2 linked regions of the Lytechinus pictus genome follow. The protein of the gene in region 1 interacts with the protein of each later gene in a biochemical or structural test. Links are inferred from orthologs where the notes say so. Each region holds a gene or a part of one and is shown on either strand. Other genes may lie near its edges.

The links. The genes of interacting proteins can lie anywhere in the genome.
Region 2: the proteins of bromodomain adjacent to zinc finger domain protein 1A-like (region 1) and SWI/SNF-related matrix-associated actin-dependent regulator of chromatin subfamily A member 5-like form a complex in vitro, tested with the Drosophila melanogaster proteins (3 studies listed by BioGRID). The link is inferred for Lytechinus pictus from reciprocal best matches to the Drosophila melanogaster genes Acf and Iswi.

What each region holds. Positions count from the first base shown.
Region 1 is NC_087251.1:554,835-563,075, reverse strand, and holds the start of bromodomain adjacent to zinc finger domain protein 1A-like, read left to right. Parts: upstream 1-4,997; 5' UTR 4,998-5,278; exon of another isoform or gene 5,279-5,283; intron 5,284-5,435; 5' UTR 5,436-5,501; coding exon 5,502-5,614; intron 5,615-8,241.
Region 2 is NC_087249.1:49,687,098-49,695,252, reverse strand, and holds the start of SWI/SNF-related matrix-associated actin-dependent regulator of chromatin subfamily A member 5-like, read right to left. Parts: upstream 3,074-8,155; 5' UTR 3,021-3,073; coding exon 2,943-3,020; intron 1-2,942.

The DNA of each region.
Region 1 (8,241 bases):
TATTTGAAAGGCTACGCGTAGACAAAATGGTAATTGAGTGATTACATAATGTTTCCCCATTACACAGGTGACATAACATGAGAAATTTGGATTACGTAATAAATTCTTTTGTTGTAGACTATAAAAGCCTATGCATATGGTATTCTGTCCCTTTCCCTGATTTAGCACTGTATATAAGAAGGTTGCATTTTTTCGAGTTCCGGCCTTGTACCGCGTTTGAAATAAAAATCCGTAGAGACGTTCCCTGGACTATGCCTGGTCCAACGGCAACAGCAACACGCGAGAGAGTGGTAGCACTGCGACAGGAGGGCAACAAGCAGACTGATATCGCAGAAGTCCTAGGGATATATCACAGAGTGCAGTCTCTAAGACCCTGAAACGTCAACGTGAGGCGGGGAATGTGCGGCCACGGAAATCTCCAGGACGTCCCAGATTGACCACAAGAAGAGATGATCGCCAACTGTTGAATTTCAGCCGCAGAAACCGGAAATTGCCCACGAGCCGTCTTCGTCGCTTGTGGAGGAGATATCATGGGATCAACGTTTCCCGGTCAACCGTTAATCGCAGATTGCTCCAACATGGTTACCGAGCACGACGGTTGACCAAATATCCACGCCTGTCTGTTCTCCACAGAGTAGCTCGTCTTCTTTGGGCTAGGGAGAGCACAGAAGGCTTCATCCAGAACATTGGCAACATGTGGTCTTTACGGACGAGAGCCGGTTCATCCTTGACCGAAAGGATGGGAGACAACGAGTTCGTCGATTAGCCGGGGAAAACCTTTGCGATGAATGTATCCACGAGATGACTCAAGGCGGAGGCGGCTCAGTGATGATATGGGCCGGCATCGATATGGAGGGAAAACGCCACTGGTGGTACGTTCCGGACGGAAACGTCAACGCCGCCGCCTACAGGGATATATCTTGGAGTTCCATTGTCTTCCATATGCAAGACGAGTGTATGGGCACAATTTCCGACTGCAGGATGACAATTAACGCTAATCGACCACACAGGGCCGCTGCAGTAAGGGAATTCCTGGAGGCAGAGGGCGTCGTACAGTTGCCATGGCTAGTGTTCTATACAGGGACACTAGCCATGGCCAGCTTGTTCATCGGATATGAACCCCATAGAGCATGCATGGGATGCCCTAGGCCGAGCCATCAACGACAGAGAGGTCATTCCCCAAAATCTGCAGGAGTTGGCAGATGCTCTGAGGGAAGAATGGGACGCTATGCCTGTTGATGTCATCAACAAGCTAGTGGACAGCATGCCACGACGTCTGCATGCGCTGGTTCGTGCGGGTTCGTGCCAGGGGTGGACATACCCGATACTAGTGACTGAGTAAGAACAATGACTCAAGTTTGATGCAAATTTGTCCATGACATCACAAAAAAGAAGTCATCTGGAAAACTGAGAGAGATTGAAATTAAATATCTCATGATCCTTTAATTTACTGTATATTGTCGTCATTGTTGTTCTATGATCATGACATCCATCGCTTAGGACATAAACTTGAAAAATATCACTGTCAAACGTGTGTAAAAGGCAGAATAATAAAGTAAAGTGGTTATCATGCACCATAAATGCCATATTCGAATCATGTTGTAATAATTACGCTGTGAAAATTTGGTGAAAGAAAATATTCTACCTTTATGACCAACAGTGTATATACATATATATATATATTGGCGAAGAAGCTCAAAAAGCATTGAAGCTAGAGACGTAGCCTGGATTTCTTCAACTTTTATTAGTACAAGCTTTCGGCCATTTAGTTGGGCCTTCTTCAGGTATCTGAAGATGTAAAATACATAATGGCTTTACAATTACCATGCATATATTTTGATTAATTTACTAAATATAGGTATATCTTAAAAGAAAATGTTTTACATCGGTAATGTTTAATTAGGATTATCCAATAGCTATTAAAATCAATAATAAAAGTTGAAGAAATCCAGGCTACGTCTCTAGCTTCATTGTATTTTTAGCTTCTTCGCCAATATATTACTCACTGAAGCACCCACGCAATGTTTAGGTCCTTGCTCATCACAATTTTATATATATATATATACATTTACATATATATATATATACATACATGCTAACATACATATTTATTTATATATAGGCCTGTGTGGGTGGGTTGTGTGATTGAGCGCCTTTGGAACGTTGATTCATGATTTTGCCCCCCCCCAATCTGAAAAATGGATCGACGCCCCTGCCTTAGACCACTCGGCCACGGACATTGGCAGATATTGGTCGATATTGGTCGACATTGGCTCACGTCAGCTTGCTATAGCTGGGCCGGGGGGGGGGGGGGGGCTGGGGCTGGCGGGGCCAGCTCGGCCCCCTTGGATCCGCGCCTGGTGATTGCGACCAATTGCGACCATTATTGCATAAAATTGAGCTATGATAGACTCCATACACAATGTTATATGCCGTCCATCTTTCTTCCCGTTCTTTATTTTCAATCCTCGGCAGCCCAATCGTGTTATTAAGTTCTCTTTTTTTTTCTTGACGGTCTCTTTTCTTCATTTTCCAATTTAGTTTTTGGCTCATACCATTCCATTCTACCTTCATTTTCCACTTTTGTTTGCCATTTTCGTCATCTTTTTTCATATGATCATGCTAATGCATTAGTATTTCGGGATGGTTTGTTCTTTCCCACCTGTTCCTTCCGGGACCTGTTCTCCTTTCCTTCCTTTTGCCGCTGTCCTTCCGTTTTCCTTAAAAAAAATGTTTTTATTTAATAGTTTTCTTTTCACCTTTCCCTTTTTCAGTTTTCTTTTCTTTTTTTTCCTTTTCCCTTTTTTTTCTCCCTTTACTCGTTTATTGAAAAAGTGCGAGCGCGAAGCGCGAGCTTTTTTATTTCATGTATTTTGTCCTAAAATTTAAACATTGTGGGCAATGTTTGTGATTCTAAACGAGATGTGTATCCAACTAAATCTTACTGTGAGCGCGAAGCGCGAGCAGAAATTTTTATATACGTTTTGATATGATCAGAAACGGATCTAGTAACGGCTGCTTGTTAGCCATGAAGACGTTACATATTCCAATTATTAAACAATGCGAGCGCGAAGCGCGAGCTGAAAATTTTGAAATTTCTACCTGAAGAATGGAAATTCTAAGCACTTTTTGTAATCATGAAAAGGATAAGTAACTAAATAATTGATGCGAGCGCAAAGCGCGAGCGGAGAAATCGAGATTTACACCTAAAAATGGGACACTCTATAAATCATGAAAAGGATGAGTAATTGGAAATCTTTATTAATAATGCAAGCGCAAAGCGCGAGTAGAATTTTTTTTTAAATATACGTTTTGATCTGATAAAAAAAGGATCTGTTAACGGCTGTTTGTTAGCCATGAAGACGTTTTATATTTCAACTATCAAACAATACGAGCGCGAAGCGCGAGCTTCAAATTTTGACATTTCTACCTGAAGAATGGAAATTCTAAGCATTTTTTGTAATCATGAAAAGGATAAGTAACTAAATAATTGATGCGAGCTTGAAGCGCGAGCGGAAAAAATCTGAGATTTACACCTAAAAATGGGACACTCTATTCAGGTTTTGTAAATCATGGAAAGGATGTGTAAGTGGAAATTTTCCTACATTAATAATAAATTTTTTGATAATTTGTGATCTGAAACTGGATAATGATTTATATAGAGAACAAGATGCGTATCGGAGTTTGGGTATTCTAAATAACTTTTTTATCATGAAAATCAATAAAGCGAGCGCGAAGCGCGGGCTTGAAATATTTGATATTCCGATCGGAAAAAGTGTCGATTTAAGCTCTGTTGCGAGGTGGAAATGGATCACAGTTAGAAAAAAGAGCTGATATGTTTCATTATTATTACTTTGAATTCTGAAATAGGACCGGGACATTCTATAAGGACATTATCTTCCTATTTCTCTTCCTAAGCGAAATTTAACTTGTCGATATTACATTCTGAAAAAGGGACAATTAGATTATTGAATTGATATCTTATTCATTAATTTAATAAGCCTAATGAGAGCGCAAAATCTGCTGATATCATGGCCTGAAAACTGAACATTTAAAGTATTTTAGTAATTATGAATAAGATGCATGAGTTAATATCTTTTCAACAATAAATGCGAGCGGAAATTTTTGATGAACTGTCATGAAATGGGGATTTTAAGTAGTTTGTTTAGAATTAAAATTTAGATAAACATAACTAACCAATCAAAATGCGAGCGTGCAGCTTTAGCTGATACACTTTGACAATTTGACCTGAATAGGGATATTTTGAGAACTTTATGGAATACAGGAAAATAATAGGTATCTTACAAATCAAGTTTTGCGAGCGCGCAGCGCGAGCATAAAATGTTCAGACCATAAAATATTCAGACCATAAAACATAAATTTTTACAGAGCACTTTAAAAAATCAATTTGTAAATCAAACAAAATAATGAAAGTTCGATTTCCGAGATGAAATATGTTTTGTATATTGACTTCAAAATTTGATATTTGAAGCTCCATATTGAGCAAGATATGTAAATCACCTAAAAGGCAATGCGAACGCGAAGCGCGAGCGAAAATTTTATATAGTGACATGAAATATTTTTTTGATAATTTTTTAAGTCTTCCCCTCATCTCATTTTATTCACTCGTCTTCCTCCTCTTATGTTTCCCCGTCTTTTTTCTCCTCTCTTTTCTCTTCTTTTTCTTTTTTCTTTCTTTCCCCCTTTTTTCTTTTTTTTGCTCCACCACAGGGCTCCACCAATAGGGGGGGGGGCCCGGCCGGGCCCCTCGGCCCTCCCCCGGATCCGCCTATGCGTATAGGCCCATATCAAAGCAAATTACGATTAATCAAATTCTAAATTTTCCCATTTTGATTCTCTCTCCCCTTATTTTTTACCAGTAAAAGGGGGGGGGGGGGTGGGAGTGGCACGTAGTTACGCCACTGGTTGCATCGGGAGCTCGTAGGCCCTCGAGAGGGCCATGTTAGTTTCTGCTCCATCCACTGCATTATACCGGTACAGATAATACATAGCTCCATGATCGTATTGAGGTGCAAATTCGCTAACGCTGCTCGAGATAGCGCGCGCTGCATGAACAGATCGAGCGCCATTTATCCATGACCCATATCATGCCAGTGCAGTAGTAGTCGAATCGTCGACGAAGCGCGCCCTCGATCATTTGAAGAGCTATTTCCCAGACTTTTCGCTGGAGTACTTGAAGTACTGACTGGGAAACTTCTATTATTCCGTTTTTTATACTCGAGAGCGCATACCGTACTCCAGTTGAACAGTGCATATGGTAAGGTAAATTAGACATTGTTTGTTATTTTTACAATTTTGTGAGTGTTATCAAGATGATTCTTGCAAGTTGTTTTCGTGAATTCCGGCTTCGTGTTGCGAAATAGTCGGCTTGCCATTGTTCAATTCATTCTGATCGTGTGCTCTCTCTCGTACAGATCGTGAGTACCGGTAAGGCGGTATACTGTCTGTGGTTTGGATGTTCACGCCAGGTCTAAAGCAAAATGCCATTGCTTCGTCGTCGAGAATTTCGACCTGTGAAATTACCAAAAGATCTGAAACCAACAGAGGAAGTTTTCCTGTGTCGACTTACAAATGAAATCTTCAGAGATTATGAGTAAGTAATAATATTATGACTATAGTATGATACTGATGATAGATCAACATCAGTCTGCTAAATTTAAACTTTATTAAACTTAAACTTAAAGTAAGACACCTGACCGTCCTCTAAATAAAATTAATGTTAATTTTGTAGACTAAAACTAGTAAAAGTAAAACTAAGTCCTGATGCGATGTGTATGATGGGGTGTCCAAACTTCGCGCACTTTTCAAAAATATTCATCGGGCTTAAATCTTTTCACAAAATATTCGTAATTTATACAAAACCAATTCAAGAAATAGTTACCACATTGACGGCAAGATCGTAAACTATAAAATCATGGACGAAAATATAAAGAAGGTCAAAGGGATTCGCCGGTATCGCGATCTCAAAATTCTATTCCGATCGGCGAATGCGCGCTGTGCTGGAAAAGCGTTCAGAAAAAGTGTGACCTAACTTCGCGGACCAAAGTTTTTGTGGACATTTAAACAAAAACTCAAGCTCAAAAAGTGAAATATTTATATCAGATTGATGGCAAAATGCTATAGAATAGGTTAGTACCAAATTTAACTCACATTTTTGATGATTTCTGCTTGCGAAATGGTGATATCGTGATGCTTGTTGAGAATATCAGAATTCTTCAAAACGGGCGCCAACGGTGACAAATTTGCCGATCTTTTGCCAATATTTTCATGAATACTGAACTCATCTTAAAGTAACTTACACAAAAGGGTAATTTTAGGTCGCTTTTCACGTTGATGAAGTCAGATTTTAAGGATATTGGCTAGTTTTTGAGATAATGACCGTCCGCGAAGTATGGACACGCGCGAAGTTTGGACTCACTGCCATACTGTTTCAGTGTTTGGTTTCTTTACATGTTCATGCATATATGCACACGCACAGTGCAGTGTAGTCAATCAATGTGTCCATGTTATTGTTACTGTTGACTGTTGTTAGCTTGCAATGCATTTGCAGAGGCAAAACTAACTTTAGTACTATACTATCTATAGTAGGATAGATCTACATGTAGATCAAACGATTGACGTTAGATCTAGAATCTAGATCTACTTCAGTACTTGATTCTTCTACTAAATTGTGGGTTCTCTTGCCTCCTTGAGTCCTTCATTCAATCAATCTTGAACTTGTGTAATTGTAAAGATTTTTTGCAGGTTTTACTTAAAACGTGCATAATGAGCACCCTGCTTTGGCATGTTTGGTGTGTTACTGTTAACCAATCATGCCAATTGTGAACTTTAATTTTAACTTTTAGTATACTATAATTAGTGTAGATTTTACTTTTTTAAAATCAAGGCTATTGAAAAGAGTATTCATGGATAAGAACTACTTTTAGGGCTTAGCCTTAGCCTAGGCCTGGCCTAGACTACACATGATTTAGTAGGTGATGTATACATTTGGGCTGGGTAATTGCATTACTGTTTTGCTCGAACTTTGTATGGACCAATTACATGTATCCATCATGAGCAGTCTGAACTGAGTGTAGATAAGTTTTCTCTTATAAACTTTTGACTTGTTTTGTTTCCATAATTTTGATTTAACGTATTCAACAATTTTTGGTTGGTCAGGACAAATATGCCCAGCAGGCAGCTGCAATTTAGTCTGCCACTCTGCCAGACCAAGGAGGTTTCAAATGAGATGGAGTAACAGCAAATAAAATCTCTTTGAACAAGGTTAAAAACCGCCAGCAGAAAGTATGTCAGGCATGCACTTTGCTCAACATCTCTTGCAATTGTGTAGACAAATGATTCCCGCATGACTCTGCAGCTATAGGTCATACATAAAGGGGTAGTATGCTTTTGTGATGATAATTACTTTTTCGCCGCATCTTGTTCTGGTTATATGTGTAGTACATAATTCGGAGGCATGCGGAAATAAACTATGCAATATGTCCTGAAATATGACTCAAATTTGCTCGACTGGGCATGTGCGGGCACTCATCTGGCATTTATACAGTAATGAACAACAATATTTCACCGACCACATTTTTTCATTTTTTCAAATTTTCATTCGCCGCAAACGATCGGAAAAGTGTTAAAATCTGGTTTCAGTAAAGGTCAAATTCTTTTTTTTTTTACTAATTAAAGGTTAATTGATATAATCTGGGAAAATATCTCATTGTATTAGTGCTTGGTTATTGATGTTTTGTCATGCATTCAAATTTCAGTTTGTTTATTAATATGAAAGATGGAAAATTGATACAAATGGATATTCGTAAAATTTCACCCCTTGGATTTCTTCACTGAAAATGGCGGCTTCGAAGGCGGACATCAAAAGGTCCTTATTGCCGTTCTTTCTTTTGTGCTTCCTTAGAAATGAACAGCTGCTTGAATAAATTTGTTGCCTGTTGCAACTCCAGTCATAGAATCTTCTTGGCCAGACTAAGTGAATATCTAGTCAAGTTTCTTGTTATATTGTTGAAATTAAGTATTGGCAGGACCAATATCAATAGAATAAAACAGTATTATCAATTTATCATAACTGAAAAATAATAGCCACCAGTCATTACAAGAACAGGATTTGTACCCATGCCATACATGTATTTCTAGTATGTACATGTACAAGTTTAATCTACCTCTAGACCGCAAGGAGTTGACAGCAAAATTGTTCGTTTAGAAAGGCTTTGTAGA
Region 2 (8,155 bases), on another chromosome or scaffold:
CAAGGCACAGTGTGCAAGACGATTGATTTGAGACTTGAAGTTAATTTCACATGTTTTAACTAGATTATCTGAATTACAGTGCACAATTACGACATGGAAGACCATTGGGATGGATTTCAAATATAATATGTAAGTGAGTTGATAACATTTGGTTTTGCATCTTTCTTTTTTCAAGTTGTTTTGAGATCGAGAATTTTTTCTTTCATTTTAATCATCATTTCTTGTTTCTTGTCTGTCCACCGCAATTTTTTGTAGTCCTATGTTAAATGTTCCCCTTCAGTACACTGATGCCTGAAAGTATGAATCCGAAAAATGCACCCCCCCCCCCGCGTTCATCCTTTCTCTCGATCCCTAACAATAACATTAAAAAGGATAATAACATAAGCTGATACTAGATAGAGTTTTGACAAGTTATTAAAGTCGTTTTTTTTTTTTTTTTGGAGAGGCGGGGTGGGGGGGGGGTGATGTAATTCCCATTCCCCCCCCCCTCATTTTTTGTTTTTATTCGTGACTTGATATCCTTGCCTTTACGTGATTTCCTATGCATGCTCAATCCTTGAAACTTTACATAATTTTAAAATATTTTTACAGATCCATAGTACACCATACAGAACTTTTTTTAAAGGAGCTAGTCTCAAGTTTGTCTCTCTGTTTTGTTTCCTTTTCTGTGAGTTCCTTTCTTCTCATTTTGTTCCTCTCCTGTACTAACTTTACAACCATTTGCTTTTGTTTTTGCTCCTCTAGCCTCACTTTTTTCCCAATTTCATTGCATTCATTATTTTGTTTTCTCTTTCATCTACAGGAAATTTTTGTAGCCAGGAGGCTGTATCATTTGATGAAAACATCAGTTTGGATTCGACCTTACCACAGAAATGTTAGGGGCCCTATGAAGCATTGCATCCGCTCTGCCAAACTGCCTCTCACCAGAGATATTTGTAGAACTACACGATGCACTTTCTGCAGCAAGATCCAGCTAAAGTTGTGATGAACTAGCATATAATAGATTTCTTATATTCATAACATTCATCATTCCAGTTCTTAATTGATATTTCAAAAGTTTAATAAATCACTTTACATGCATTTAATATATTTCTTATATTCATATCATTCATCATTCCAGTTCTTAATTGATATTTCAAAAGTTTAATAAATCACTTTACATGCACCATATTGAGCTGTACACTGAATCTTGCCTCATAAGATCATTTGGCTTCAGCTCTACATAATACCCCCCCCCCCCCAGCAATAAAAAATGAAAATCTAATAAAACAATAGAGCTGCAGGCAGTAGCGTACCTAGGATTTTCCACAGGGGGGGGGGGGGGGCAAAATCGTCCGCCCAAAAATTTGACAAGCAAAAAAGTCTTCAACCACAAATAAAGGATTTCGTACTTTCGGTCTTAAACTTCAAAGGAGGGGGCCACCGGTGGCTCATCAGGGGGGGAGGGCAGGGATACGTCCCTTGCATGGGTTGTGACTCGTCGGGGGGGCAGTCTGCCCCCCCCCCCCATAGGTACGCTAGTGGCTGCAGGTCCACCCACCCACCTGTATCAACCATTACCTCCAATGAGAATACCTAATTTTAAATTTTATTGAGCAACTTCATTAATACTGTTAAAATATCCAATTTATATTTTTATGTGGAGTTAATTAATGTAACCAATGCCAACAAGGAAAAAAAATAAAATGAATACTTTCATGTGTCAGTGTGGATTTGTCATTTCTTTTTAAAATTTATTTTAATATTCAGATCTGTATGTGTATCCTTTTTCAACACTATGTTCCTTCTCTTCTCTACTGCATGTGCCAAATTGTTTGTTTTTTTGCTCATACTTCTTAAATAAATCATGAAAAAATTACATAAAGTCTAAATAAAAATATTTAAACAGACATACAAGAAAAAAAGTGTTAGTTTGGGGCGATAGAAAATGTTAGAAGACAGTTGGGGGGGGGGTGAGATAAATCAATTGTTTCTTTCTTGTCAATTTAAAAGCTGCAATTCATATTTGTGAATAATTAAGTAGTTGGTAGAACAATTCCTGCTTAAAGTTGCAGTCTGAATGGAATGCAGGATCGCCAAGAACAAAGCCCAGAGGCAGAGGTGGGGTTGGTTTTTTTAAGGCGGCATTTCCATCACGCTTTCTTGGAACCACAGATATTCGACGGCTCATGCAGCCCAAGTCTGTTCATTGTTGGGCCCCTCGACTTCAGATCAGTAAGTATTGCCATGCTCAAATGGAGGTAAGAAATTAATCTGAATGAAAATAAAAAAATGAAAACAAAAGAAAATTAAAATGATAATGAATTAAATTAGATCTAGGCCATTCATTTTTAAAATAATAAAAAATTTAAGTTTTATTAGGCCAAAAGAAATCATGTTACATGAATTTTCAACAGAATATAATCATCAAATAATAAATCAAGACTAAAGTAAAGGCTAAAATTAGGTTCGAGAAGATTCAGAAAGTTGTTGCGTCATTTGCCATTTTTTTTCAATATTTTATTCAATCAAAATGAATGTGTCAGTGTGGGATGTATTTCTGATTTCTACATTTGTGTCTGGTTTTCAATTCCTAATTTATAAAAAAGAAAAAGTTTTTTTAAATCAAAGAAATACCAGACATATCACGGTAGACGGTCTGCTACACAAATTCCAATGCGCAGGACTACACACCGCGGGCAACCAAAAACCCTAGCAGCCGCCATAAATTAGCCCGCGAAACGCGTCGCCAAACTTCCCACGAAAATCCCACGAAACAAATAGCAAGGGCGTTTAACATTCGTCCGTGGCAAATGGTGGCAAGAAATGCTGCCATGAATGAGGTAAGAAATGAAAGCTTACGACTTCAATTTTCGAGTAGCATATGTATTTTTAGCGTAATATGTCTGATAATTCCATGAAAATAACATATAATGATGATTTGATGCATAAACTGTACTTACAGACTGTTTTAGTGCAATTTTTGTTCCGATCTCGACCCTCCGTCGCAAGAGCTTACCGTGCAGTATAGCTGAATGCATTGGGAAGATGATGTCATCGTTTTCATTCCCATTGATATACGTTTACCATCCTAGACAGGAGACTCAAGTAGGGCTTGCCGTTATTGCTCGCACCGGCTCCCGAAGCAGCTTGTCGCCATTTTCGTACGCGAAAATGATGACGCGAAAATCGCGCCCTCTCGCGCTAGAGTAGCGTACCTATCTAAGAATCAGAAAAAAATTGACGTCTCCTATCAGTACTATCATCATGACTTGAGATGACATTGTTCGCTTAGCTGTAACAGCTACAGTACTCTCCAACAACGGCAACATCAAACTCTCAATTTCATCAATGTCAACAACATCTTGTTATCAGATTCAGTCATCACAATTCTTTTGTTCAGTGTTTATCATGTCAAAACATACATTACACCCAAACCAATACATGGGACCGACCAAGACAAATGAATGAAAATGACGACGGGTAATAAAACGCCGCTAAGTTCAAGACCAAATAAAACAAACTTAAACCGACAAAATTAAACAATAATAGCATCATCATGGTTAACAATTACTTACCGGGTTCCCAAGGGGTGAAGGGGTGTCTTCTCTCTCCTCTAAATCAGCCATTTTTGCACGAAATTAAGGGTACTCGCGTGCAAATTGCAAAGGGAAACCACCAGATGACCTGCAAATGAGCGCGCGCAATTCAACGATAAACAAAAGTATCGTTTGGTAAGTATCGCGATCAGTCAGAATGTCAGTGGGAGAGAGAGATAGGGTTGCAGGAGAAAAATAATATTTACAAAGTCATCCAAAGGATTTTTTTATTGCTCGGCATGTCTTCAGTGTTGTATGAAAATTCTCACAACATAACAAATTGGCAGAGTAATTAAATGTTGTTGTGTTAATTTGCACCCTTTTCACTTTTCAGGGGATTTTTGTGGGGGGGGGGGGCACTCGACTAAAAAGTGGTAGGGGTGTGCCGCGGGCGAGACAAAAAACGGGGGCCTTGGAGCGTGCTAATTGTAAATAGGAGGGTCCTCAGAACGGGCTTCGGAACTATACGGGGGGGGGGGGGCGTTGTACATGTCTACTAAGATTTGGTTTGGAGGGTGATTTAAGGGTAATTTTGGCAAAAAAGTGTACCCAATATTAAGAATTTTCTCCCAATCGAGAAAAAGAGAAATTACTCAAGATCGAAGGAAGGGGGGTTGTTCATTGAATGATTTTAGAGCGGCACATTCCCGTATGCCGAGTATAATATCTGCTGTTCAATTGTGATAAGCAGTCATCTCCTATGAATTCCATTTAAAGCAGCGCTGACAAATCTATCACACCAAGATAACCACAAAATAAGAATTATCAATTAAATAAGCATCAATATTCACACCTGAATGTTTTCGCATTAAAACCCAAATAAACAACCTGACAACAACAACAACATGCATGCTCTGAAAATTTATAATGACATTTTCGGGGGAGCTATACTCTCATATTGACGTCACAAATATCTAAATGTTGAAATGTGAAATTGGCTATACGGTTATTGGTCTTACAGAACTGGCTTAGTTAAAAAAAAATGAATAGTTTTTTTTTCTTCAAAATTCCTTCCATGGATGCATTCAAGCATCCCTCTATGCTTGACATGGACTAATAATTATTGATTATGTGTTCTACTATTGCTCAATAATGATGCCCATGGCCATGGGATCATTATAGTCAATAATTCTATAATGCCTCTGAAGTTCCGACTTTGCAATTGTTATAATTTCACAGTGCATTATCTGATTGGTTAGCATAACATGAACGTGACAAGTTAAGTTTTTACTGGTTTATGTTGATGTAATTTTTTTTTGAATAATTGTTTTGTTTAACATAATTATTTTCGATAATACCGTCAGATCAGGGGAGCGTTTCATCAATATTTTTGTCTGACAAGTTGTCAGATCTGACATCTTTCCTTTATTCTGATTGGCTGACAAGCACTGCACCTATGGTAACTGTCGGATAAAATGGGACTTGGATAAAACGTCAGACATGTCCTTTCATGAAACACTCCCCTGGTCCATGATGTTCATTTTTTTCCTATTTAGCTCAACACATGCATGGTTTTCAATAAATGATATAAATGCTTGTATGTATATGCCTATAAAGGACAGCTAGAGGAATGGGTAAGTGTGGGCGGTGAGTTTATTTTTTATCGGAATTATTTTATTGCAATAAAAGATGTCATGTTATTATGCAATGTCTCCAGGAACTATTTTAAATTGATATATTCATACTGCAATGTGATGGGGTTATATTTTAGATATATATATATATTTTGCTCAACCCTCATGTGTGCATGTAGGAATAATATATGGCATTTTGTGACTTATAACCATATTGTATAACCTGTTTATAGAAACAACTGATGACATGGAAATTGGAATTAATGCAGTACTTAAGTCATTTTTTTATCAATATGTATTTACAAATGTATTTTTATCACTTGTGTTCCACAGCGAGGCTGTTGGTTTTCTTGGAATAAACTCTGATACCACATACCAGTCTGGATTTTGCCTTCTTTCACAAGAAATTCATAGCTCTTTTTATTCCTTGAAGGATCATCATAAAATTTTTTTTTATAGGAGTGCCGATATTTTTCTGCAATATTTTTGTCTGCTTTTACATCAAACCCAATGTAAACTGGTTGTCATCAGGGTAAACTTCTCTGTGGTGGGTTTGCAATTAGTTACATGCAATTTTTTTTATATGCAAATTCATCTTCACTCAACTTTGCAATGACGGTATAGGCCTATTTCTTCCCATATCCCTCCAAATTAGGAGGTCATCGGAGGTCACCTAGAAATCAGCATCGCCACCAATCACCAATGAAGAATTCTCACCTTTCATTCAATCAGTGAGCGGCAACTCAGCTTTGACGGCATGCCCATGCATTGGCCGATGCATGTACAAAAAAATCTGGTTTTTTTTAATGACACTAAAGAAAATTGTCACAGTTAAGACTGAGAAAAGGGATCTCATTCCGAAAAGATAACACTTTGACCACAGTCACCAAAAGAAAAAAATACTGAAAATTACCCTTTATTCTTACCCCCTAAAATAACATTAGCAACGAGAATAATACTTCCCTTGCTTATTTCCGGAATCCGTCAAAAAGAATCCTTATTTTGGCTCACCAAAGCCTGGTACGACATCGTTTACCCTCCTCTTGATCTGTGCCTGACTGCAGTCTAGCTTTTTTTTTTTCCAAAGCCTTCAACTTTTCATTTAAAAACAAAAATTTTGCCCTTATAAAAATGCGACTACCGAAAGTGGCGGTCTTAGGTGCCTATATTGTTCAGAACCAAATACTAGTAGGTCCTTGGTCAAAGCATGGACCTATTACGACCCATGGTCAAAGTATCGAAAATCGCAATCGAATGTAAAAACCGCTATCGATTGTGAACAGCGCCATCTCTTGTTATCCTACACAAAGAAAACTCGCAGTTTACTTTTTCATGTAAATTACTACAGTACACGCAGCGCACTGCATGTCCATATAGGCCAACTCATGCAGCAAAACAAAGAATTCTAAAAGTTATTTTTGATGATTAAGGGTCATTCTTTCCGGATTGATCCTTATTTATTGCCCTCATTCAAAAGCCAAAGATTTCTTTTTCATTGTCAATATCTCTTTGGTCTAGGCACATTTTAGCACTATAATTTTCTTCACGGTGAAAGTTGTTTTGTATCAATTAACTTTCCGTGTTCTGATGGCCGTCATATAAAATCCGCCAATCCGCCCTCTCCTTCTCACCCTCTCCCCTGTCGGAATTTCTTTCTTTCTTTCTCTCTCTCTCTCTCTCCCTCTCACATGTCTCTCAGCTCTCTTTCCTTCTCTCTATTTTCCCTTCTCTCACATCTCCGAACCCGGCCATCCCGGCAACCCATCACTTTGATCCCATCCTGATCCACCCCCCCCCCCCTGGAGAACAACAACAACAACAACAAAAACGGTACAGGAAAGGGGTGAAATGTGATATTAATTGTTCAATATGTCACACTCTATCACAAATTGGATGTTCATTTTAAAGAGGCTATTTTTTTCCACATTATGCCCCCATCAAGTCTGTTTTGGCTCACATTCGCGGCCACTGCAGAAACAAAATGAAGAAACCAATATTTAAAAAATATACACACTCACACACACAAAGAAAACAATAAAATCACATGTACATCAAATTCATTTATTTTTTTAATAAGAAACTTACACTTATTCTTAACCATATACGATCTTCCCGTACCTGCTTACAGAGTAACAATTATTTCATTCGATACAAATTCCCCCACACGTTCAACGCCGTTTACATCATATTGGAAGACTACACAATCATGTTGGATAAACTTTAATCGACCGTTAAAAACCCGTTTTGTTTAATGAAATTGTTTAAATGCAGCATATAGTTGCTATGTCATATTTTACATTTTTGTATGGGCTAATATTCTCATTGCATTTTGCTTTCCCCCATAATCGGTTTATTTCATAATTCATTTATTTATTCATCGATTCACTACGTCTTTTTCATGTCATCGTGACTTCGTCAGTGGTCTTATTGCGCTGCTTTAACATGATGAAGTTCCCTGAATGATTTATAATAACAAAATACGAACATTTAAAACAAAGTAAACAAAACTAAGAAGGATACTTTCCGAGTTTAGGTTAACCACTTAAAATTCAATAAGTTCTCCTCTCAATCATCAAGGGAAAAAAGCCTTTCGAAAAGTTTTCTCTAAAAAGAAACAAATTTCAAAACAATGCATGATTTACGTTTCGTAAAAAAAAGTATCGTATAGGACAGCAGTTTAAATAAAAGATTTCAGAAAAGATTCAATGTTTCATACCTTATTTTTGATAAAAAGTAATATATTTCAGAACGATAAATTTAAAGTTAAATTCTCATATTATAATCGAAACACTGAAGCTGATGAATATATTATCTACTAACTACGAAGACTAAACAAAATACAAACTAAATATACTGTACTCCACTCGTTCTTATGCTTATTGACAGTGCAAATAAGATTTACATAATACAGTTTACACGAGGTTTTCAGTGCTCATCGATATTAATTTCATACAATATTTACACGATTTTTATCACCAAACCTGTGATTTATATTTTATTCAA